4 linked regions of the Drosophila melanogaster genome follow. The protein of the gene in region 2 interacts with the protein of the main gene of each other region in a pairwise test. Each region holds a gene or a part of one and is shown on either strand. Other genes may lie near its edges.

The links.
Region 1: the proteins of dl (region 2) and tub interact in binary tests that used the Drosophila melanogaster proteins (3 or more experiments, as listed by UniProt).
Region 3: the proteins of dl (region 2) and twi interact in a two-hybrid assay, tested with the Drosophila melanogaster proteins (2 studies listed by BioGRID).
Region 4: the proteins of dl (region 2) and Dlip2 interact in a two-hybrid assay, tested with the Drosophila melanogaster proteins (one study listed by BioGRID).

What each region holds. Positions count from the first base shown.
Region 1 is NT_033777.3:4,385,120-4,391,263, reverse strand, and holds tub (tube), read right to left. Parts: upstream 3,523-6,144; 5' UTR 3,335-3,522; coding exon 2,872-3,334; intron 2,806-2,871; coding exon 1,880-2,805; 3' UTR 1,451-1,879; downstream 1-1,450. Other genes in the region: CG14646 (uncharacterized protein), read right to left, coding at 1-153, 206-838; Cont (contactin), read right to left, coding at 4,502-4,795, 4,851-4,984, 5,046-5,214, 5,271-6,143. UniProt on the Drosophila melanogaster protein: Plays an essential role in the Tl receptor signaling pathway that establishes embryonic dorsoventral polarity; the signal directs import of dl into ventral and ventrolateral nuclei, thereby establishing dorsoventral polarity.
Region 2 is NT_033779.5:17,446,742-17,452,883, forward strand, and holds the start of dl (dorsal), read right to left. Parts: upstream 3,624-6,142; 5' UTR 3,135-3,623; intron 2,628-3,134; 5' UTR 2,555-2,627; intron 1,770-2,554; exon of another isoform or gene 1,537-1,769; intron 1-1,536. UniProt on the Drosophila melanogaster protein: Embryonic developmental transcription factor. The lateral or ventral identity of a cell depends upon the concentration of this protein in its nucleus during the blastoderm stage.
Region 3 is NT_033778.4:22,983,247-22,989,487, reverse strand, and holds the start of twi (twist), read right to left. Parts: upstream 4,115-6,241; 5' UTR 3,997-4,114; exon of another isoform or gene 3,959-3,996; coding exon of another isoform or gene 3,160-3,958; exon of another isoform or gene 2,939-3,159; intron 1-2,938. Other genes in the region: CG32833 (uncharacterized protein), read left to right, coding at 4,174-4,980; CG32834 (uncharacterized protein), read left to right, coding at 5,213-6,241. UniProt on the Drosophila melanogaster protein: Involved in the establishment and dorsoventral patterning of germ layers in the embryo.
Region 4 is NT_033777.3:4,643,095-4,648,097, forward strand, and holds Dlip2 (dorsal interacting protein 2), read right to left. Parts: upstream 2,562-5,003; 5' UTR 2,475-2,561; coding exon 2,087-2,474; intron 1,983-2,086; coding exon 1,690-1,982; 3' UTR 1,555-1,689; downstream 1-1,554. Other genes in the region: nuclease slx1, read left to right, coding at 450-1,330; MED31 (mediator complex subunit 31), read left to right, coding at 1-153; rpk (ripped pocket), read left to right, coding at 2,970-3,236, 3,482-3,584, 3,652-4,244, 4,301-5,003.

The sequences.
Region 1 (6,144 bases), on a different chromosome or scaffold from region 2:
TGGTCGTCGGACTCGGTTCTCTAGATTCCTAAACTCCAGGGCATTAATTCGTATGTGGAAGTCGCTCACACCCTGCCTCATTGGCCGTACAATAATGCTTATCATCTGCAAGGTGTCGTTTTGGTCTTGATGCGATATGTTGTAAGTTTCTGCCTGCGGACAAAATATTAGGGTCGCACATACAAAGGAATCGTGTACCACTGACCTTAGCTACGCTAAGCGACGTGTTGCTCTGATGGGCGAAGTGAACATTGTACATGGTGGTTTTTATTATCCAGTTCTGCGTGGCAATCACCGAGCTAATGGAATTTAGCTTCTTCTTGTATATTTCCGGTTGCCGGAACTCTATACCAATTTCGCTAGCCACGGCACTGTAGCTGCCCGGCGTGATGGAGTACTTGGAGAGCGCCTTGCTGATCGGGTGCCGACGCCAGTTTTCCTGGTGCCAGTTGAAGATCAGAGCGGGCATCGCCAGAACGGCCAACACACTGAACCGCTGGGCGGTTTTCCACGTAAGCGTTTTAAACGCTACCGCTTCCTGGGGCATGGGGAAATCCGGGTCCAGGTCGAAGTCCTCCAAGGGCTCCTGCGTGGCGAAGACGGAGAACTTGAGCCTATGAATAAGAAAGTAGGAGAAGGGCAGACAGGAGTGCACGAAGAGATTCAGCGAAGTACGGCGCTGGTGGTAGCCTACAAAGTCCAGGTACTCTTCTCCCAGGAACCGAGCGAACAACTGTTCAATGGTGAATCCCAGGCGTTGGAACTCCTCTGGCGGGTAGATGATCACCATGCACAACAGAATATAAAACAGATTGAATAGCAGCTCCGACTCGTCCATGTTGCGAATAATTTCGGATTTTGTTTGGCTCAGTGGTTTCGTCGAACACTAGAGGTGTCCAACAAATTCCCGATTATTGTTCTTAAGATATCGATATTATGAATGGTACGCGATAGCACGGGACCAATATCGTACCGCGCCCGCCATAGCAAATGAGAATTTAAATAAAAACAAGGTGCGAGACATTTTTAATTGTCAGCAGTTTGAAGATCGACTATTCTGCGTGCCACGGGCACGGGGCATTAGAGCAAATGTGGAGTAATACTGTTTGCTGTTTCGAACAACAAAAATAAAACAATTAAAATCAAAAATTTGCAGTTATACGGAAAAGGCAATGGACATGTCATCCGAGGAGAAAGGTAAGTGTACATTTTGGAACGGACAACAGTGTATTAATTTAGTAACTAAACGAAACTAACCTGTGCACATAAATAAAATAGTACAAAAATTACATACAAAATGCATTCGTTCATTTGAAAAACCTAAAGTTTTTTCACCGAGAAAAAACAGTCGCCTTAAACTCTTGAACTTACAGCCCTGAAAAAGGCTTTGACTTAAGCGGTCATGTGGTATATTATCAGTATGAACGTCGAGAAAAACAGACAATGTTTTCAAAAATATTTTATTTGTATTTAGCCATTATATCGTACTTGTGAAATATTTTAGGCAACAATCAATTAATAACGAAAAATGTCATAAGATCGCAGTTTGTCCCAAGACAAAACTGTCACAGAAACCCATTATGCGTTTAAGGAAATTTATACTAGAAAATGAAGGAGTATTTCGTAAGTATACAAAATTTGTTAAATTTTGGTATTGGGTTATGGCTTTCTTGAAACGGAAATATTTGATATTGCCGTACTTGTCATGTACTGTCACGATTACAGACGTGATATGAACAAATCGTGCACTGAATCTTAGATTCTAGTTGGACCTCATGCATAACATAAGAAGGTCCACACCCAGCTGCCAAATGAATACATCTGGGTTGCATAAGTTATCGAACGGAATGTCATCTCCGCCGATGGTCGGTGCTTTTATCTATTGCTGCAGCTCACTCAAGTCTGGAATGTTGCAAGCGTAATCGTCGTTTGAGGTGGAGCTGGAGTCGTTGGTTAGCTCAAAGCTGTTATCACCACTGGTGCCAGTAACCGTTGTCAGGCTGGAGTCATTGTTTGAGCTCTGCTGCTCTGAGTTACTCAGATTTGGCAAGAAGGCATCTGGGTACTCTTCCTCTCCATCCTCCTCACCATCGTTATCATCGTCATCATCTTTGCTCAAGCTGCTGGAGCTGCTTCTGCTCTCAGGACGCAAGGTCTCCCTGCTGCCTTTACTTATATTCAAGGCGCTTATCATTGGCAAGTTGTTTGAGCTCGCCGTTGATGTGGTAGCCGTTGAAGCTTTCGCTGGAGCGTGATTTGGTCGAGAGTTTACATCTCCAGAATTATCAATTAAAAGAGTGATTCGCGGAATGTTAGGCGGATCCGTTGAGCTAGTTCTGTTGCTTGGGTTGTCCGACACAGTTGCCCGCAAATCACCAGAGTTCGAAATGAGTATAGACAGATCGGGGATGTTCATCGGTCGTGGCTGCAGCACTGGCTCCTGAATTTGTTCGCTGGGATTGAGAATTGTCAGATTGGGCACATTCGGGATGGTCGTCGACGTAGTTCCGGTGCCTGTCAATGTTGCAAAGTTGGAGTTAGTAGTACTCCTTTGCTGTCGTCGAGGTGGCGCTATGGGAGGGGTGTTTCCTGACGGCTGGGGCACACTCTTGTCCCGCCTCACAATGTCTTTTTCAAAGTTGTCCAGGTTCAGGCCAACGCTACCTTGAGCGTCTGCCCCAAGAGTGGCAGTGCTTGACTGGTATTTGAGGCTCAGCCCCTCGTTGTCCACTTCCATTTCCTCTTCCAGCAGCTCAAGGCTTATGAGCGCACCGGGACCGTCAACAGGCCGGGCAGGGGTGGACTCTAGAGAAGTCAGTGGATACACTTTTTTTAGTTTTGTCAGTTTAAGGCAAACATAGTCATACTTGCCATTTAGGAAGTCTAGTGCCACAAAGTCTGCCGCACTGAAGAGCTCTGCCTGCACCAGAAGTTGGAGCAATACCCCAACCGTGGGCCGCTCGTTGAGCTTGCCAGAGGTCTTCCACTCGTCGATCATCATCTGCGACTTGCTTTGGTCCGGCGGTAGTCGGTTTGCAGCCTCGTCAATCTGGAACACGTCCTGCGCAGTGTACTTAAATCCCTTTTTGATTTCCGCCGGAAAATTCAAGCATCCGGCTCCGCTGCAGGCCTGCACATCCATGCCCTTGGGTATGATCGACATCAATTTGCGCCAGCATGAGTTCTCATCTAGTATTTTGGCAAGCCGGTAAATGTCATTGTCCTCAACGCGTCGCAGCTCCGTGTTGCGAGAATACTTCGAGGATAAACCTATGGCGCCGTTGCTTCCGTTCACCTGCACGCCCATTCCGCATCCGTTCCAGCCATACGCCATGGTGTTCCCTTAGCTACCCAGGATAACCTTACGGGAAAGCCTTTGCCTGTGGCAGGTCGATGGTTCAAGTTCCCAGATGTCCAGTGCGATTGTATGAGATTTCCGCTATAAAACCATGTTTGCATCTATCTTCTCTCTCTATGTTTTTGCCAATGCCCACAGCTACTGCTCGCTGCTCGCAGTATTTCAGTGTGACCGAGGAGGACCGCAGCACCATATTAGATTCGTCATGTAATATTAGGGGGATTCCCGAAGCCGATTGGTATTGTGTGGTATTTCCGTATGCGGAAAATAGCTAGCCATTTGCAATACTGCACTAATTTTTAACGCAAAGTAAGAAAAAACCAAACTTTTTTTTTCATTAATGACATATTCCGGCGTTGTGAGCAATAAATGTAACCCCACCGATAGATGGCTTTCGTTTGTAATTGTAGAAGAATACCGGGTACCTGGTAGAAAGGAAATTCGAATAGACATTTACGTATACATATATATAAGTATTAAATATTCTTAATCAGTAAAAACAGACAAGTCGATATAGCCATGTCCGCCCGTTTTACGCGGGCGATGAAATAGCAGCAAAATAAATAATCGAAAAACCAAAAATAAACACTTAGTTCTTAGTTCTTTTTGATATTTTTGGACAATAATTAATTTTGATTTGTGATAGTTTCTGAGATCTCGACGTCCATAGGGACGGACATGGCCAGATCGATCCTGATCAAGACCTCTTCTACCTGCTACATATTTTTTAACTAGTCTGGTATACCCTTTTACTTCACGAGTATCGGGTATAAAATGCAGGAGTAGTATTACCAGGTGAACAAAAAGGGACATAAATATGGCCAACCGGGGCACACGTTCATAATTAATTCATAATTCATTATTCCAAGTAAAAAAATAGGGATATTGTTATTTTTAGTTCAGCAACATACTGGACCATATAATGGTATTCATATTTATTTTGTTGATAAAATTTTAGAAATTATTTTTTGATAAAAGTCTATAAAATGGACGGAATTGCATTTGTATCAATTAAGGGGCTTGCAAGAGAGCACGGATGGAATGTAGTTCTTTTTATAACTTCACTTACTCAAATATAAGGTCACTTCTTAGTATATGTATGTTCTTACTGCCTAAAGTTATGGATCTTAATTTGTGCTGCATTCATTGGCTTGTGTAAAGAAAGGTGCTAATGAGTAGCAATGTGCTTAAGATAAGAGCCGTATTGATATTGTGGCCATGTCGGGTATTTGCGCCGTTGCGCGTGGTCTTGCCCATCTGGAAGTGTAAAGTTGGACTGGACATGCGACCGTCTCCTCCATTGCTGTATGCGAGGACTCGCATGTTGTAACTCTTCCCTGGCGTCAGATTGTTGATGTACGACTCCAGTTTCTGTCCGATTGGCACTATGGTATTGTTGGCCGTAATCATGTTCTGGTCCGATTCCCAAATGCGAACCTAGAAAGTTTCAAACTGTAATCGATTTTCTTGGTCACGGTGCCGGGAGTTGTACCTTATAACCCTCTACTGGTTCCTCGTCTTGCGAAGGTGAAACATATCTCCAAACAACCCGCACGGTAGACGGGTTTATTCCATACACGTGAACCGAAGATGGCGGCTTTTGCGGGGCCTTTCTATATGTTCGTTCTAAAAAGCATGGTGTTTAAGCATTTTCTTTAAATGGTTTTTTAAACTGTTCGTTACACACCTTCAAAGCGTTCGCTTTCAGGTCCTTCACCTGCAGCATTGTAAGCCATGACTTTAACAAAGTAGTAAGTATCTGGTTGTAGACCTACGATAAGCGCCCAATTCCTTGTAGTACGTGACAGGTAGTATACCGAGTCTTCTTCCTGGTGCGTCGTTTTCCAATACTTCAACTGGTGAAAGATAAGGGTTTTTGACAATGCAATGGAATTAAGTGCAGTAACCATACCCTGTGGCCAATGAGTTTGCCACGAATGTTTTCACGGGACATGTCTATAGGTTGCCAAGTGACATTAAAGCATGTGGAGTTGTAGGCGAGCGCAATGGGCTTTTGAGGAGCCACCTGTGGCATGTCCTCAGCGGAGTGTATGACAGCTATTTCACTCTCCGGTCCCTTGCCAACACTGTTAATGGCTTGGACTTTGACTTCGTACTCCGTATAGTAGTTATTAAGAGGAATATTAACCACAGCCACGCCCATGTGATCCTGTTTTTTTATTTCGTCAGATGCCCATTCAATGGCTCCCTTGAGCTTCCAAAACACTTTATAGTGTATGCCGTGGCTATGCTGCTCTTGCGGTAGAAGCGGATCCCAGGTGATAGTTAGGTCGCCAATCTTTCCACCTCCACCACCCACGTTCCTCGGGGCTATGTATGGTTTGTCCTCATAGGTGCTGTAAATTGGCGAGGGGGCCGAGGGCGTTCCGATTCCCAGATCGTTTACAGCAGTAACACTAAATTCGTAAGCCGACCACGGCGTCAGATTGACAACCTCGGCTTGCTGGCGAGAGGTGTATCGATCTACTTCTCGCGCCTGCACATGGGTCGACACATTAACCCAGGTGCGATTCCAGTTTGTACGGCCTAGGATGTTGTAGTAGCGGATCGCACGACCGTTGTGCGATCCGTCCACCCACTCAATGATGGCCTTCGTTTTACTTATCTGTATGACTTGAACACCACCAGGAGCGCCAGGAGCTCCCTCAATAGAAACACTGGTCTTGCTGCTAATTTCGTTTACCGCCGACTTGACAACGCATTCGTAGTCCCCGGCATCGCGCATGCTCGTGTTATGCACTGTCAATCTGTTCCAATCTACAATC
Region 2 (6,142 bases):
CATTCACTAACTACGTGACTTTCTCATTGAGAACAAGGTATGGAACTGAACGAGAATAGGTCAGTTACCCTGAAAATTAAATCTAATATTTTGAGGATATCAAAATACTGGAAATTCCCATAGTTTCAATCGATTAACCAATTTAATATGTCATTCAAAGGCTAACAAGAATTATACTGCCACCGAATTTAATTGCAATACACTATTTACGATGGTTTCATCCGCAGCTATATTGAGATTAGAACCATTTGCAACCACACAAATTTGCCACCGTTTATTCCCGTCAGATAGAACCTGCGGCATTCAGACTGATAACGCTCAGGTGTTGAGCGTAGAAAATCCGAAAAAAAAACTCAAAGATAACCAAAAGTAAGATAAGAATATAAAAATAAATCTAAATGACGATGGCCTGAGAATGTATCGATAGATGGTTTTTGGTTTAAGTGTTTTGCAGGGGAGTTATATTGGAATTTCCTATGGTTTTGCCCTTCGTTTGCTCAAAACAATAAATAATTTATTTGATTAGCTATTAATTTTCACCATGTCTTGCAAAAATCCACACGATAAATTCAAAAGAAAAAAGTCTATGCTGTTAAGCCATAAAATGAATTAATAAAATAACGTTCTACTCGTTCAACGATAACTACTTTTGGCGAAAAATAAAAAAAAAAGGTAAGTAAACAAAATAAAATGAACATTTCGTTTCGATCATTTAACATGCTAATTTTATGCAATTTCCAATAGCAAAGACACACAGAAAAAAGTTCTTTTGGCGCCAGCACCACAAATTAAGATTAAGATCAACATCAAAGCATCAGAAGCAGCCAAAAATTCCTCAGTGAAACGGGTTCCGCAAAAAAAAAAAAAACAAGAACTCCAGACAGACAAATGTTTTTTAACGATCGTTGGCGTCAAGCAATTTACAGCTCAAATAAAAATAAATAACCGATATGCTGACAAATCGATGGAACTAGTTGCCAAAAGCTATGTTTTGTATCGTATGAATACAAGTCCATTATCCTTATTTTCCACACCAAACAATGTTTGTTAAATTAGCCGATCAGGGATTATTGTGCACATGTGACTTCCGGCAAAAATGCAGATACATATCTTATCCGTATCTCCAATTATAACGGCCACGATCTTTCTTATCGAGTGGTTTAAATGATATTCGCCTAAAATAGAATCCCTATTGATTGATGATTTGCATAGCGGAGGGCCTTACCCACAGCCAGATCGTGTATCAATCATGACTCGGATTTAGCATACGGGGAAACTACCAGTAGATATAACCAATATTATCTATTGACTTGGCCTTAGATCTCTGTTAGCACACAAATCTCTACTCGAGCTTTGTAAATCGCCGATGACTTGCTGGAAACGAGTTGAGCGATTTTAGCGCTTTGATTTTCTTTGGTCCCGGAGACGAGAGTCTGATGTTATGAGTCAGCACACGGTTTGCATTTAACTTGGTTGCACTTTTCGAGTTTACACCGTATTAGCAGCTAAAAGCATTTCTTCATTCTTCATAATTACCTGCGAATCAAACCAAGAACCAGTGAACACTCATGACGAATTCGGTTTCACTTTTTGCTTTTATTTGGGCCACAAAACGCACACTAACCGCAGTTTGTTCTTTCAAAATGGTACTTTTCAAATTATTACTTAAAAATAATATCGAACCGTTAGGGAATTTTAAAAATATTTAATAAAAATAAAAGAATGTTAGCGCAAACACGACCGCAGGCGCATCGAGTCGATCTTAGAATGAAACAATTGAAAACCTCTCCGGCGTATTTGAGTGGCAGCAAAAAATAAATAAATACAAGGGGCAAAAGCTTTTCCACGAGCCCCACCCCCTCTGGGCCCCACGGCCCCCCTCGCCCACCCACGTGCCCGTAAGAAACTTTCATTTATGGCGACGTCGAAAAGCCACTGCGACTGCGCTGCCATGTACACAGGTGTTTCGGTTGTATTATTTAAGTTTATCGTTTGCATTCACCGTAGATTATTTAATACGCAGGTGGATAATTGCCACCCAAAAAACACAACAACAACAACTGCGGTTACACTACAAAGGATTGAATACGTTCTAATAGTTTTTTTTTAACATCTTAACTATTATTTGTCATGCAGAAATTGTGAGCTATTACAAATCTTAGCATCCAGGAATTTTAAACATTGTCAAAATGTTAAAACTATTTAGGATGAAAAATATTAATATGCGAGAAAAGTGACCAGTCTTGGTTTATCAAACCTTAAAAGTGTGAATAATGGTTGATAAATCACGATGTTGTTGCTGTAAACATTGTTCCGAAACGATAAGGCGTCCAATGACTCAATAAGGTTATATTTTTAATATGTTTAATGCAAGATGCGTTTCTTTGTAATGACATTTTGCGTCTTTGGAAGCAATAGTTGTGTACATATTTATTAAAATATCAAGACCCTTCTCGCAAAACGCAGCCATTAGGATTTTCCACCGCACTTTATTAATCCGTGCAATCAATGTTCAGAATCAATAAATTAAGCTAGGCTCTATAGGGGGACTCACCTAAGTCAAGGAGTGATCTGAAATCTCGCTTATATGCATTGATATCACTGGGTTTGCTAAGTAAATCGGACACCTGAAATTCAACGCGAACCAATTAGTACACTTTTATGTACATTATTTGTTAAGTTTCTTATTGTGTTAATTGGAAAATTAGTCCGTTGCACAGCGAGCTAAATAAGCCATTTATTTATAGTTGAGAAATATGGCGCTTTTTTCATGTTAATGTTAACACATACACAAGCACGCACGGCAGGAACCGGTTTATTTATTATTTTTTATATATAAATAATTTATTCTTCCCTCCCTTTCTCACTCACTCTCTCTCTCTCTCTCTTTCTGATTCTTCTTATTTTATTCTTTTTTAACTTTTGCGCGCGCACAAAGCGGGTGCGATAATATCGATAATAACGACAAAAACAACGGATGGGGGAGAACAGTTCGAACAGAAACTAATGAAAAGTTAAGAAATCGAAGTCCGAAGAAAGAGAGAGTGGGCAAAGAGCGCGAGAGAGCGCGTGACGTCGATTTTTTCTAGGGAATTCCGGGCTTTATGCTTATGCGATCATCGACGTACGACTACCTTTTGTTTTTGTTTTTCGATTTATTCGATTTATAATTTAGGGTAATTTGTTATCGCGCTCTGCCCTCCATTTTCTTTGGTTATTCTTGCGATGTTTGTGGTTAAAGTGTCGATGTGCCGTGTAATCTAATCGGTAAACGTTCAGTTTTAATAGAAATTATCAATACGTGCGCCGAGTTTTTTATTTTTGTTTTTTCCTCCGTTATATTGGTGGGTCTCTTTTTTTTGTCACTCGTAATACGAAAAAGCAAGTGAAACTTGCTTAGAGCTCAATTGAATTTATGCGTTTTTATGCAGCTCTTTTACTTTTCGTTTTATTTTTATCTACTGGTATTTCAACCTGCCTTCGAGCTCCAGAAGAGCGAAAGAGAGCGGAAGCTTAAAGCACAGCGAAAAAGGTAAATAAGGCACAATTTGGAGGTGGAGATAAAATACCCGTAACACACGCACTACCAACCGATCTCGACGCCCGCGATTTGAACACTAACTGCCCACCAAGAAGAAACAGGCGAGCCAAACTTTCAATACCGTATGCGCCACTGAAAAATACCGCAAAACTTGCAGATCGCGAAGCTTTCAACGGAGTTAAGTAGTCGGCCCCAAGCTCTGCTCTTTGCAGTCTCGACTTAAGCTCAGAAGAGAGACAATCCGAAGAGCCTAGCTTGGCGAAGAGTGCGAGATCAGCATGTGCTGAGTCACGTACGATTGAAGTTTTCCACTTGCGACTTATAGCTTACAGATGTCCACATCTTCCACAAATCCGAGTTTCGAGGAATACGCGATGATTGCATAAAGGCGAAACAATATATACATACATATAATATAAATGTTTTTATCTGACTGATACCGATTAGTAGGAATGCAGGCCAGTTGTTTCTTTCAAAAGCTTTTAAAATGTGTCACCTTTTAAATCTATAACACGTATTATATTGAAGGAATACCTAATTAATTGAAAATGCATATCTTTTTATTAGGAGCATCCCAAAGGAATCGGAAAATATAAATATTTTGTTTTTCTTAAATATTGAGAATTCAACTGTATGGTAACCAATCATCAAGAATTCGATTTTCAATGTGAGATTCGTTTAAATAGCCGAATATTCCAACTATATATGCATATTTACGAAAAGTAAAATATAAATGGAAAAAATAACTTCCGTCATTTATCTCAGTGTCTTTCACATGTGACTCATCTCCACGAGCGACTGCCTCCGAAAAGCTTTTTCAGCTTTTATGAATGAAACAGCACGGTGAGCACTAACTATCTGTGTGTGTGGCTGCGAGCTATCCATTTAAGACCCCACTCCCACCCATGCGGTTGGGGGGTCTGAATCAGCGTACGATTCCTGGAAAAAGGATAATATCCTGCGCCGGCATTTGTTGTGGCATTAATTTCCACTGCGGCAGAGTCTCAATGCCGTGACTCACTTGCTTCGTGCTCAGCATTCCGGAGCAGCTTTCACTTTCCGGGCGGAGGACCTCTGACATTCAAGACGGCTTGTTACGCGGAATTTGATAATATTGCTGATTCACCTTCTGGGGAAATGGGGGTCAGTACAGTTGATAATTGAATACATCGCTTAAAAAGTGGTCGCACGTTAGATAAGGATTTTTATGTTTTGGGTTTTTCAGCTAATTAAACCAAATTATTAAATATGAACGATGAATAGAAAATATAATTGTCACATTATTTGGAAAACGAAATATTATCAGTTTGAAATACATGCGAAAGAACCAGGTAGTATTTTTATAATTTCATGACAAAATTACAAATAAGTACTAAATGTTCCTATTTTATTACTGTGAAAAATTTATAAGTAAATAAGAATAAAAATAATATTAATTAAAGTTGGATGGTCGGTGACACAAAATCCACATGCTTAAGTTCTTCCCAATACTACGTACATATGCATAAAAAAGGACTTTCCGCCATTATCGTAAATCGTTATCAAAACCACACTGGCACGAAGGTCATGCCACCTGGTAAACATACATACATACATAAGTGCACGTGAGCTAAGCGCAAATAAATAGGAATTATGTCAAATGTTAGTATTGAAATTCCACATCAATTGCCATCGCCGCCCGTGGAATTGGAGTGGGGGAATTGCGGGACTAAGTCAACTCGCAATGTCTTGATGGCACGAACGTAGAACAACAACCCGGTTAATGGAGTCCAGACATCGATCAAACAATGGTGAATGGAGAAGCTCCCACTCCCACAAGGCCGGCAACCAATTGCAGCGGGTTTTCCACGAAAATCACGCGATATTCGTCCAGTCCCGCGAGGTAATTTTTAATGGATCCTGCCCCCTTATAAGCTGACACGTGCTGGGGCAGTCATTTTCATGTACATACACATATGTACATTTGCACCCCGTGTATACGACATTATTGATTTTTTCCGGTTGTCGGACTTTCGCCTTAAACTCTTTGAACTTCCTGTGGCACGTGTCCTTGACAGCGGTGGGGCAACTAACCCAACAATGTTGTCGGTGTCCCATTCAATGTGAAGGTAAGAGCGAAGTTGCTACTTACCCCCATAGCTACATGCTAAGTCACTAAAATTTCTTTCAGTGTACAGCTAACCACGCCCCTGCCCCAAGGTCCTTGCTCAAGTTGTGGCAGCCAGTTCGTCTGGTATTTCAGTCAATGAGTTGCATAAGCAAATCGACGATTTTAAAAGAGCCATCAGCGATTTACAAAACAACGTAAAAAATAATTCTTTAAAAATGATTGTACACAACAAGTCTATATGTACATATGTATGTACATACATAGATGTGTGTGCAAGATCTATATAATTAAAAAAACAAACACATAACAAGCTAATAAAACAATATATTTTTCCTCATTAAAAATTGATTGATAAAGACACAGTTCCAGGAAATCTGTGCATATACTCCATTAAAAGCTATTTACATTTTATTTTACGAGAATAAGAGAATTTCAAGTAATTAAGTTTAATAATTAAATAGGAATAAGGGTATTTTATAAGTGAAAGGGTA
Region 3 (6,241 bases), on a different chromosome or scaffold from region 2:
AACACTTGTTGGCCGCCTGGATGGCTAGATGGCTGGATGGTTGGATGCCTGATGGCTGGCTGCCTTCCAGCTAGTTGTCGCGTGGCAAGTGGCGGGGTGTCAACCAAACTCTGCAAACAGAAAAGGCCCTGCCGCCGAGCAATTTGTGTTGCAGTTGCCGCCGACGATGTTGCCACTTTGATTGTGCACCATAACTGCGAGGCAGCTTCTATTGTGGAGCTTTTCGTTCCTTTTTTTTTTATGTTTGCCAGCACTGCTGAAGTTTTGCTTTGATCGCATTGTAACATTTTGCGACAGTTTTAGATTGTAATGCGCTCCATGGGAGAAATGGGAATAAGAACAACTCTGAATTGAATCCGAGATTGCAAGTATGACTGGTGCAGTACACAAATTGATAACGACTTCAAAAGAAGTCAGAAAATGTGGAACTCCAGAAGAAAGCAGAACAAATCGAATACTACACAAAACTATATGAAATAAAATAAAGTTGCCAGTAAACAATAGTGCAATAGAGCGGTATATATATCATGACAAAAATCAAATTCAAATTGAACAATGTCTATAAAATGATTTTTTGGCAAACAATAGAGTTTTAAAGATATTTATTAAATCAAATGGCTTTGGGGAGCGGACATGGCTGACATTTATAAAATGTATAACTGCATGTTTTTTGGAACTTGTAATGCCATCGATGGCATTACTAGGCGTTTGATCGACCCGAAATGATTGCCACATTTAATTACCCCGTTCGATCAGATAATGCAGTTAATTTTCAATTTTCCCTTTTTTTTTTGCCCGCACTGAGTTCGATTTATTGTGCGCGTCGTGGGGACAACATGTTTAATTAACGAACACAATGAAGGAGAGTCGCAACAACAGGAGTTTGTCACCGACTTTCGGTGAAATTTCTGACTCTCTGGTGACATTTGAAAAGTTTAAAATAATATAATTTTCGACGCTATATGGCAAACTAACAAGTTCGACCCGGAAGCTCAGCGATGGGCGCTGGCAACTGAGCGATGTGGGTATTTTCGGGGCGTTTGTCTTAGCTAACTTTCCGCCCGGGAAAGGAGAAACTTTTTCGGCTGCACTGTTGCACCCACCCACACACACACACCCATACACACTCTTACTCACACACACGAAGATCTATTGTAAAATATGTAAGAAAGTTTCCTTGGCCTGGGTGGGAAAACGCTGCGTTTTCGGGAAAGCAGCAGCAGCATCGACGTTGTCTTTGGGGAAATTAAACATTTTCTATTTGAAAACTTTGCCGTGTGTGGGGGGCGGGGGGTGTAACGGCATTTGAAGCGGTGGATTTTCCAAAGGTTCAAGAGCAACAGTTGCCTTTTGAACTGTTTCGGGTCGGTCACACTTTGGCACTGCGCTGGATTCCCTTTGTTCCACCCAACAATTGCGGAAGTCATAATTTCTCAGCCGGCCAAGTTTCTGGTTTTTTGACAAATTTAGCTGCAAATTGTCGGCAAAACTTTAGTTCCAGCTTAAAACTGGAATGGGTCTCCAGTCCCGTGCCTTCGGATCCAAATGTCAAGCGGCTTGCTGTCATAGGTGTTGCATATTTAATGCGCCGCCGCCGATGGCAACACACGCGGCACAGCAGCGCTGAGGAGCAGCTGCATCCCCAGCACGGCGATTCGGACAAGTGCACCCAGAGTGCATGCAAATATTTTTGTCAACGATTGTTTTGCCGGCTCCCTCGATTCCGAGTGGCGAGCTGTGACTGCGGGGGCGGGCGGGAAAAGTCCGGGAAAAGCGGGTCAGGGAAAAGGGAGCGAGGACGAGGACAGTGGTAACCCATGTTTTTGTTGTTGCCAACGGTTTGAGTAATTGTCGCTGGTGTGAAAATTGGCAACGATGCCATCGAGCTGGAAAAGGATTTACTGGGTTATGTATGAGCCAAAGGCTGATTGAGATGGAGGAGCAGCTGGATCGAGCTGGAAATGGCCATCGATGGACGTCTATGGCGTTAGCGATGTTGCCAAAACTGAAATATTCATTAGGCCAGCAAAAAAAACCAATTGAGGTCATTTGAAAAGTGGCCTTGCTTAGCAAATCTGTTGAATATTATAAAATGGTGAGAAAGGCACTTGCTTTTAACATAATTAATCCTTTTTTTTCAAGCATAACAGTTTAACAAAAGATCATGAATAGTACGCGAATATATCCCATTAACTAAATTAATTAAAGCCTCGTATAAAGCGAGCAAGCTTTCCTGATTTTGCGTAAATAAAATCAATTAAATAGAGCTAAAAAAAGCACACCCAAACAATATTTGACAAAAGAAAACGTAGATCCAGGGGCAAATTGAAAACACGATTCAGCCCGCCGAAAAAACCCAATAAAATGGTAATAAAAAACCCAGCAACCAAAAATGATTTTCACATTGATAAAAATTAAATGCGATTCGGGGCGAAAGCAATGCGATGTGTTGCATCTGCTGGGACATTATCAAATAATTCAGTTGTAATCCATTTTAATCCGCCTGCCTGGCTGCGAAACCGACCCACTTGACATGGCGAATCATCAAAATGTTTGTTTACTTGCCCCATGCCCCATGCCCCTTGCCCCTCGCCAGCTCTCTCCTGCCACTTTCCTCCATGAAAGTATTTATTTCGACATTTTGCTAAACATTGCCCAGATTTAAATCTGCATTCATGTAAAATTGCATAAATACATGCAAATATCGCTTGATGGAAATGTCCAGCTATATTTCAGTCACCCACGTTTTTTTTACTCTGCAGGAATTATTCAAATATTTAAGCGGCTTAGTGTAATGGCTGGTGAGTTTTGTCTCAAATCGGAGGACGGGTACAAAGCCGCTCTAAGCGAAAAGAATCGATGCGGCTGCTTAAATTATACTTTATAATTTGGGCATATATGTGGATTACCCCAATTGGCAATTGAACGTATAATAGTTCGGTTTTATATTCAATCGATTGCGCACAGGGCGTATTTATCATTCAAAATGTTTCAAATGCCAATATGGATTGTAATACATTGTAATACATATTCTTCTTACATTACAAAATAGATTCTTCGAAAGGTAGATAAGAAGAGTATTCCAAAGCTATTCCGTTTAATTAACAAAGAATCCCATAAAAAGAGGAGCACGCCCTTCACGAAAGTCAGTTAAAGAGAATGTTAGCCCCACTAATCCTCCTGCAGATTGTGGCTCTGCCTTGGTTGGCTCTCGGAGATCAGCGGATCATAAACGGAAACACTGTCAACATTAAGGATGCACCGTGGTATGCCTCCATCATAGTCAATTCGAAGCTCAAGTGCGGTGGTGCCATTATCTCGAAGAACTACATCCTGACTGCCGCCAAGTGTGTGGATGGCTACAGCGCCAGGAGCATACAAGTCAGGTTGGGAACCAGCAGCTGCGGCACTAGTGGATCAATTGCTGGAATCTGTAAGGTCAAAGTTCATAGCCAGTACTCCAGCTGGCGCTTTGACAATAACTTGGCTCTCTTGAAAACCTGCGAGCTACTCAACACCACCGATGAAATAAAGCCAATTGAGAGGGCCGACAAAGTGCCGGATGATAATTCTCGAGCCAATGTGACTGGCTGTGGTGGCAGATCAGGCAATTTCCTTGACCTTATCTTAGACTTAGAGGATTAGCAGCGGAATAGAAGAGAAGTGCTTCCAGCTGCCTGTCCAATTGCACGGCACTCAAGTGCGGATCCTTAGCCAAAAACAGTGCGCCGCCGACTGGAAAGTCATACCATTTTACTTACTCAAGGGAATCTCAGACCTGACCATCTGCACCAAGTCGCCGGGCAAGGGAGCCTGCTCCACAGACAGGGGTTCGCCTCTGGTCATCGACAACAAGCTCGTGGGCATCCTCTCCAGAGCGGGCTGCTCCATTAAGCCCGATGTCTATGCAAATATCCTGGGGCACACGAACTGGCTGGACTCGAATACGAAGGATTAATATCTTACTTGCTGTGAATAGTTTAATGATAATATTACCTTGCCTTCTGTAGATCTATATTTGAATTTGTAAAGCACAGAATAAAGAACATTGCACAATGGCTTAAAGTGAGAAAAATTTTAACACACCGTAAAGTAAAACAAATTAATTTGCTATGCTTTGTGCCAATACTATAAAATTTAAACAGCCTGCTATATGCACATTTATTTGGCATCATGCTTCTGCGATCTCTACCAATTTTCCTTGCACTCTTTGTCCTTTCCAAAAGTGACACGGGTGCAGGTGAAGATTCGGAAGAGGACGACGAAAACGACTGCAACCGGACGACTCTTGGTGGTCATCCCGTGAACATAACCACAGCGCCATGGATTGCTTCCATTTCGATCAAACAAAAGGCCAAGTGCGACGGAGCGATATACAAACTGAGTCACATTGTGACAGCCGGGAAATGTGTGGATGGATTCCTGAACAAGGTGATCCGTGTACGAGTGGGTAGCACTACGCGCAGCGATGGAGTCATCGAAGTAGCAGTCTGCAACATTACAGTTCACGAAAAGTTCACCGGCCAGACAGTATTTCACAATGTGGCCATATTAAAGTTGTGCGAACCGCTCGAGGCCTCCAAAACGATCCAGCCAATTCAGTTGGCCAACCAGCTTCCGTCTAATGGGGCAAAGGTCACGGCCAACGGGTGGCCCTCCTTCAGGTGGTGGGCAATGTATTGGAAGAAGTGTCTGGATGATGAAGCCTACAAGCTGCAGAAGGCCGAGGTGAAGCTACTTGGCCCTAGCCAGTGCACAGATCTGTGGGCGCGAAACAATTGGTCCAAAAAGAATTTTACAGATGACTTGTTCTGCACCGAGAAGTTCGCTAAGGAAGCCTGCTCTTTAGCGATGGGATCACCTGTGGTCCACAATGGCAAACTGGTCGGCATTATAACGAAAGGCGGCTGTTCGGAGTATCCAGAAGTCTATATCAATCTTATAAAGTACAAGGACTGGCTGCATAATCATACAAAGTAAACTTAAGCGTTCTCCCAATTAATTGTTAAAAAATACTTTGCCTTCGAGCTATGACTATGTGCAGATTAGTGCAAGTAATACGCAATACTTCCTATTTTGATAGAGCTTCGAAGTAAAGCCATCACTCAATTTGAGGTATGACTTTGCAGATAAGGAGCTCTAGCCTTGAAAACGACTTAACTTTTCCTATAAAAAGAGTCGCACATGCAGCTCTAAAAATCAGTTGTTTATAATGATTTGGAGTGTGTTCTTATTTCTGTTGGCTGCTCTTTTACGGCCGGTTCGTGGTGATCTGGATGCCCAAAGCCGCATCATTGGAGGTTATGATGTGGATATTGAAGATGCCCCGTACCAGGCGGAAGTAATAATAGATGGCACAGCAATATGCAGTGGGGCGATCATCACATCAGACACCATCATCACAGCAGCTTCGTGTGTCCAGTCCTACGGTTCAATTGAAGTACGCGTGGGCACCAGTTCCCGCGATTATGATGGAACTGGATTCCTGCTCGAAGTCTGTGAAATAATTAATCACCCGCAGTACAATTGCTGGCGTTTCGATAACAATCTGGCACTGTTGAAGTTGTGCGATCCGCTCAAGACCTCCGAAGCTATTCAGCCCATCAGCATAGCAGAGGATGAACCGGACGATGGTTCGTGGTGCACTGTCTCCGGCTGGGGATCCACCAGTTGGTGGGGCAGCTGGTGGGACAGGTGCTTCGGCAGTCTGCCGGACTATCTGCAGATGGCATGGGTCAGCGTCTACAATCGGGAGCAGTGCGCCGCGGATCGCGGTGTTTGGTTCGGACTCTGGGACAATGGCATCTCGTACCTTACCCTCTGCACTCATAATGGCGCCGGAGGATGCTCCTACGATACGGGAGCTCCCTTGGTGATAGATGGACAACTCGTGGGCATTCTATCCGAAGGCGGCTGCACCACCAAACCAGATGTCTACGCCAATGTACCTTGGTTCACAGGTTGGATTGCCGAGAACACCGAAGATGAGGATACAACCGCTTCGACAAGTACTTCTAGTGATAGTAGTACCACTGTGGCTAGCACTACAACTGCTACTGTACCGAGCACTGTACCTAGTTCTGAACCTAGCACAGAACCTGTTGCAGTACCTAGTACTGAACCTTCCACCAGTACCGTACCCAGTACCATATCTAGTACCTTACCTAGTACAGTCTCTAGTACCTTACCTAGTGCAGTCTCTAGTACCTTACCTAGTACAGTCTCTAGTACCTTACCTAGT
Region 4 (5,003 bases), on a different chromosome or scaffold from region 2:
ACCCCCAACGTGAACGGGTCAGCTTCCACGGCGGATAGTCAACAGACGTCTTCTGCCCTACAGCCTGTCCAAGCACAGCCTGGAAATCCCCAGCAGCAGCAGCAAATCAATGGCGTGGCATCGGGGGCCAACATAAAACTAGAGTTAAACTAGCGCTGGCAACTAAAAGTTTACCAATAAAATAGTATAAGAACCTGGAACAAGTTATTTTGCATTCCATTTATTATCTTCCTTTTTGGCTGAGAAACAGCTACCACTTAACACACCTTATTTTCTTAGCTATTTTAGCCAAACTAAAATTCTAAAATAATTTTATTTCTTTTTTTATTTTAGAAAATCTTGAAAACCTCATCTCATTGCTTTAGTTAGGGTGTCGCCTCCTTTGTCGTTGGTTTTTGGTTGCAGACACAAAGCAAGTTTCATTAATCTATCTGTTGGTGAATTCACAGACCCACAGGACACAGCTTCTCAACAGGAGGAATCCGTCGCGCTGAAGGGCCACTTCTACGGCGTCTATTTGCTATGCAGTCAGAGCTTGGATCCTCGCTACCGGGGAAAATGCTACGTGGGCTTCACCGTGAACCCCAAACGGCGGATACGCCAACACAATCTTGGTTGTGATTTCGGTGGCGCGAGGAAAACCAGTCGCAAAGGGCCGTGGCTGATGGTAATGATCGTGCACGGATTCCCGAATAATACAGTGGCACTCCAGTTTGAATGGGCTTGGCAACAGCCGTCGCTTTCAACTAGGCTTAAAATGTACCCTGAATTAAAACGAAAACTGCCCAGGGAGACGTTCTTTGACTACAACTTTAGGATCCTTAGTAATATGCTGGGGGTTGGCCCTTGGAATAGATTACCGCTCACCGTTCGCTGGCTAGAAACGGATTACGAGAGGCCATTCAGCAAGGCACTGCCTAAACACATGGAAATTGTGAGTGGCAAGGTTTCCATTAGTGCCTCACAACGTAGGAGACCTGATGATGCAGTACCTCCTCCACCTGTGGCGTGGGCTTCCGAGTGCCACCTTTGTATGCAGGAAATGGAGCAACCGGAGAAATCCCGCCTGGGATGCACAAATCAAATGTGTCGGCTGACATGCCATATGGTGTGCCTGGCCAATTACCTTCTGGGCGACGAGCCAGGTCATTACATCCCAGTTGGAGGAGAGTGTCCGCTTTGTGAGACTCGTCTCAGCTGGGCAGCACTGCTGCAGCGCAAACGTCTTCTTTTGGGCGTGCCTGAAGAACTGCAGGATCATGACGAGGATCTGAGCGACGACATTGATGTAGACAGCGATATTGAAGATACCCCGGAGCTCAGCGATTAGTTGAGGACCCATTTCATTTTATTTACAAATGCTAAGGTATCGCATAAGCTAAAAGTATCTAGGCAAACACCATCTTAATGCGCTTGTAAAAGTAAACATTTTAACTAAATACTTTAAAAATATTTCCAATAGATAATACTGAGTATAATTTAGATTTGTTTGCGGTATTTAAGGTTTAAACGAAAGAAATTAAATGCTGAAATTTAAAGTGTAACAAATTAATTAATATTTATCAGTATTTATTCTCCAAGTATAATAAAATAAATTATTAGGTTTGTTTCCCAATTCGTCAGGTGCTTTTAAACTAAGATAACGTTCAGTAAATTGACAGAAGAACAACATGTATTACATTGATAAAGTTAAAGGTCAAGGTGGGAAATATGTTTCTTAATGCTTCTTAAAGCATTTTTATAGTCTTGCAAAAGTTTAGCCATTTTCCGCTTTTCCTGCAAGTAATACTCCATAGACATTTGTACGTACTCCTGTCCCTTGAAGTTGAACACAGACACTTCAGTAGTATCTATATTGTCGGGTTCTGCTCTAACTCGGCCTGCATTCGGATTGGGTTCCATTTTCACAGCTTCCTTTAGAGCAATGACAATGGAAGATTCCTTCGGGCGCTTCTGCGGTGGACTATCGTGGACTGCGTCAACTGAAAATAATGTTAAAGAAGTTAATAAAGCATTAAGATGCAACACCGACATGATGAATCCAACCCGCTCTATTTCGAAGGCCCGGTGGATTTATAGTACTTACTTGTAGTAACTGAGGTAGTGTCCACATTGTTGATGCTGAGCTCATCGTCGCTCAGGTTTATATAGTAGCTCTCATGCGAAGTGGAAGCCACTTGTTGGGGCTCCTCCTCCGGCTTGCTACTGCTTTCCTCGTACGGAAACGGCACTGCCTCGCCGACGAGGAGCGTTCGGTTCTTAGAGGAGGATATGAACTTGCGGTCAAAGTGAAGGGAGCACATAAAAAGCTGGCTATGGGGAATCTTTGGATGCACTTGGCCGTTTTCGTGCCAGATTCTCGCCCTTTGCGGTTGTTTGGGAAAGGCAAACAGGGTTCTTCCTTTGGTCAGCGCGTTTTCGTGGCCTACGTAATAGTATTCACAGTCCTTGTACGCACAAGACCTTGTCGCCATTTTAAATAAATTTAAATAATTACGAATCTTAATAATTAAGTAAACAGTACAAATCGTGTACGAAGCATTCGTTATCGATACATATCGAGGCGTAACGAGGATTTGGATTTTCAACTCGTTTCCACTTTTCTGCGTTTTGAAATATTTTTCTTTGGAGTTTTAATTTTTAACAACACAGGCGAATGTGCAAATAATGAATTGGGATAACGTGTTAACAATGACAATTAATAAAGTTGCAGCAAATATGTACCTGTTTTTCGTTTTTGTTAATTTCAACAAAATTTAATTTAATTCGGAAGTAAAATATATCGCTAAATTGTCACCATCCGAACGTTTTTTTGCAAGTTCTCTCCAAGATCCTGTCAATCTGGCAGGTCTGCCAAGAAACGGGAAAAAATTCTCGTTTTGCCATTTGTCTTTCACGTTGTTTTCGTCTCCAACCCACATGGATTACTTGAAGCTGTGTTTGTGCGCGTCAAGAATGGAATAGACACCATGACCATATCGGATTCGGAACTCGACAGCAGCAAGGGCATCGACCTGACATTCAGGAGGAGAAGGAAGGCAGGTTCCGTCGCCTGCGAAGGATTTATCACCACGTACCATGAATACTGCAGGAACACTTCCATACATGGTGTCCAATATCTTGGCGAGCAGGAGCGCCCCTTCCGCGAGCGCATCTTTTGGCTGTTCGTGTTCCTGATCTCGATCTACGGCTGCTCCACGCTGATTCAAAGTGCCTACACCAAGTGGACCGAAACGGTGCGAGTCCCTAGTAGAACATACCATACATACATATGTATATACGTAGCATCAGTAAAAGCTCTCTGAAACAATAGCATTTAAAGTACAGATCCTTCAAAATTGCGATGTATTATGCGATATATTATGCACCCTAACTGTTATGTTTTATAAATATAAGAACACTACAGGGTCTTCTGTAAAATGAAAAGTGCTCTTGCTGCCTTCAGCCGACAACAAAACTAATATTTTGCGTTTTTTTAAAGCCTGTGATCGTTAGCTTCGCGGAAAAATCGACCCCCGTGTGGAACATCCCGTTTCCGGCGGTCACAGTTTGCTCGGAGACCAAAAGGGTGCTAAAGCAGAAAGGTTTGTTATTCGGGAAGCCTCTAGTTGTACAGACTATGAATATTAACATGTAACCTTTGTCTGACAGGAAAAGAGACCACTTATGCTGATCTTTACAGCCAGTTCAGCGAAGATATGCGAGCTTCGCGGGTGTTTAGGCCCGAAAACGTTAGTGCCCTTGAGATGGAGGAGTTCCGCACCCTGCTGCACGTATGCAACACGCAGATCATTGAAGAGGACATACCCTTGATAGCCGGCGATGACTTGGACTACTTTGATGTTCTGCAGCGGATGCTGCCCCAGTTTGATCGGTACTTCTTTTACTGCCGCTGGCTTAGTCGTTTCGGCGAGTGCGAGACCTTCTTCCGAAAGACTCTTACGGAGGAGGGCATCTGCTATACGTTCAATGGGCTGAGAGCCACTGAGATATACCGGGACGACACCTATCAGTATCAACACAGCGGGGAGCCCCTGGAAATGGAAAATATTAGCTCGCAGCATACGGCCTGGACTCTGGAAACGGGCTATGCACTGGACAGCGATGTGGAGACCTTTCCGGCTCGTGTCTTAAGTGCCGGAGCGCGATCTGGCATTTTCTTGGCCCTCCAAAGCTTTAAGCAGGAGGTGGACTACGCCTGTCGAGGACCTGTGCAGGGATTTAAGGTGGGAAAATTTGAAAACGTAGCTGTTTGCTTTTTCTTGCTCCAATATGTGTCTACAGTAATGCCAATCTACAGGTACTGCTTCATGCGCCCGATGACGTCCCGCAGGTTTCCAAACAGTTTGTGCGCATTCCCATGGGCAAGGAGGTGCTGATCGCAGTGAAGCCCAACATGATCACCATGTCGTCGGGAATAGCAGAGTACCATCCAGTTCGGAGGCAGTGCTTCCTCAGCCACGAGCGGTCGCTGCGTTTTTTTAAGGTGTACACCGAATCAAATTGCCAACTGGAGTGCTTGGCCAACTTCACGCTGACCAAGTGCGGATGCGTTAAGTTCTCGATGCCCAGAAACGTGGACATGCCTGTATGCGGAGAGGACAAGATCCACTGCTACGATCGGGCAGAAAGGGAGTTGTTAGTCAGGGAATTCAAAAGAGTAAAAGCGCTGAACGCTGGCCGAGAAAATTCGCGGAGCGTGGAATCTGCCTGTAACTGCATGCCAGCATGCACATCCCTCGTCTACAACACGGAGATTTCCCAGGCCAACTTTGATTTGGAAGAAATGCTAGTGGCTGAGGGCGACACTGAGTTCCTGAAGGAGTATCCCGGCTCCCAGATGTCCCGCTTGTCCATTTACTTCAAGCAGAGTCAGTTCATCACTTCAAAGCGGTCGGAGCTTTACGGAATGACCGAGTTTCTGGCGAATTGCGGTGGCATTTTCGGTCTATTCATGGGGTTCTCCATCTTGAGTCTTGTGGAAATGATCTACCACTTCACGT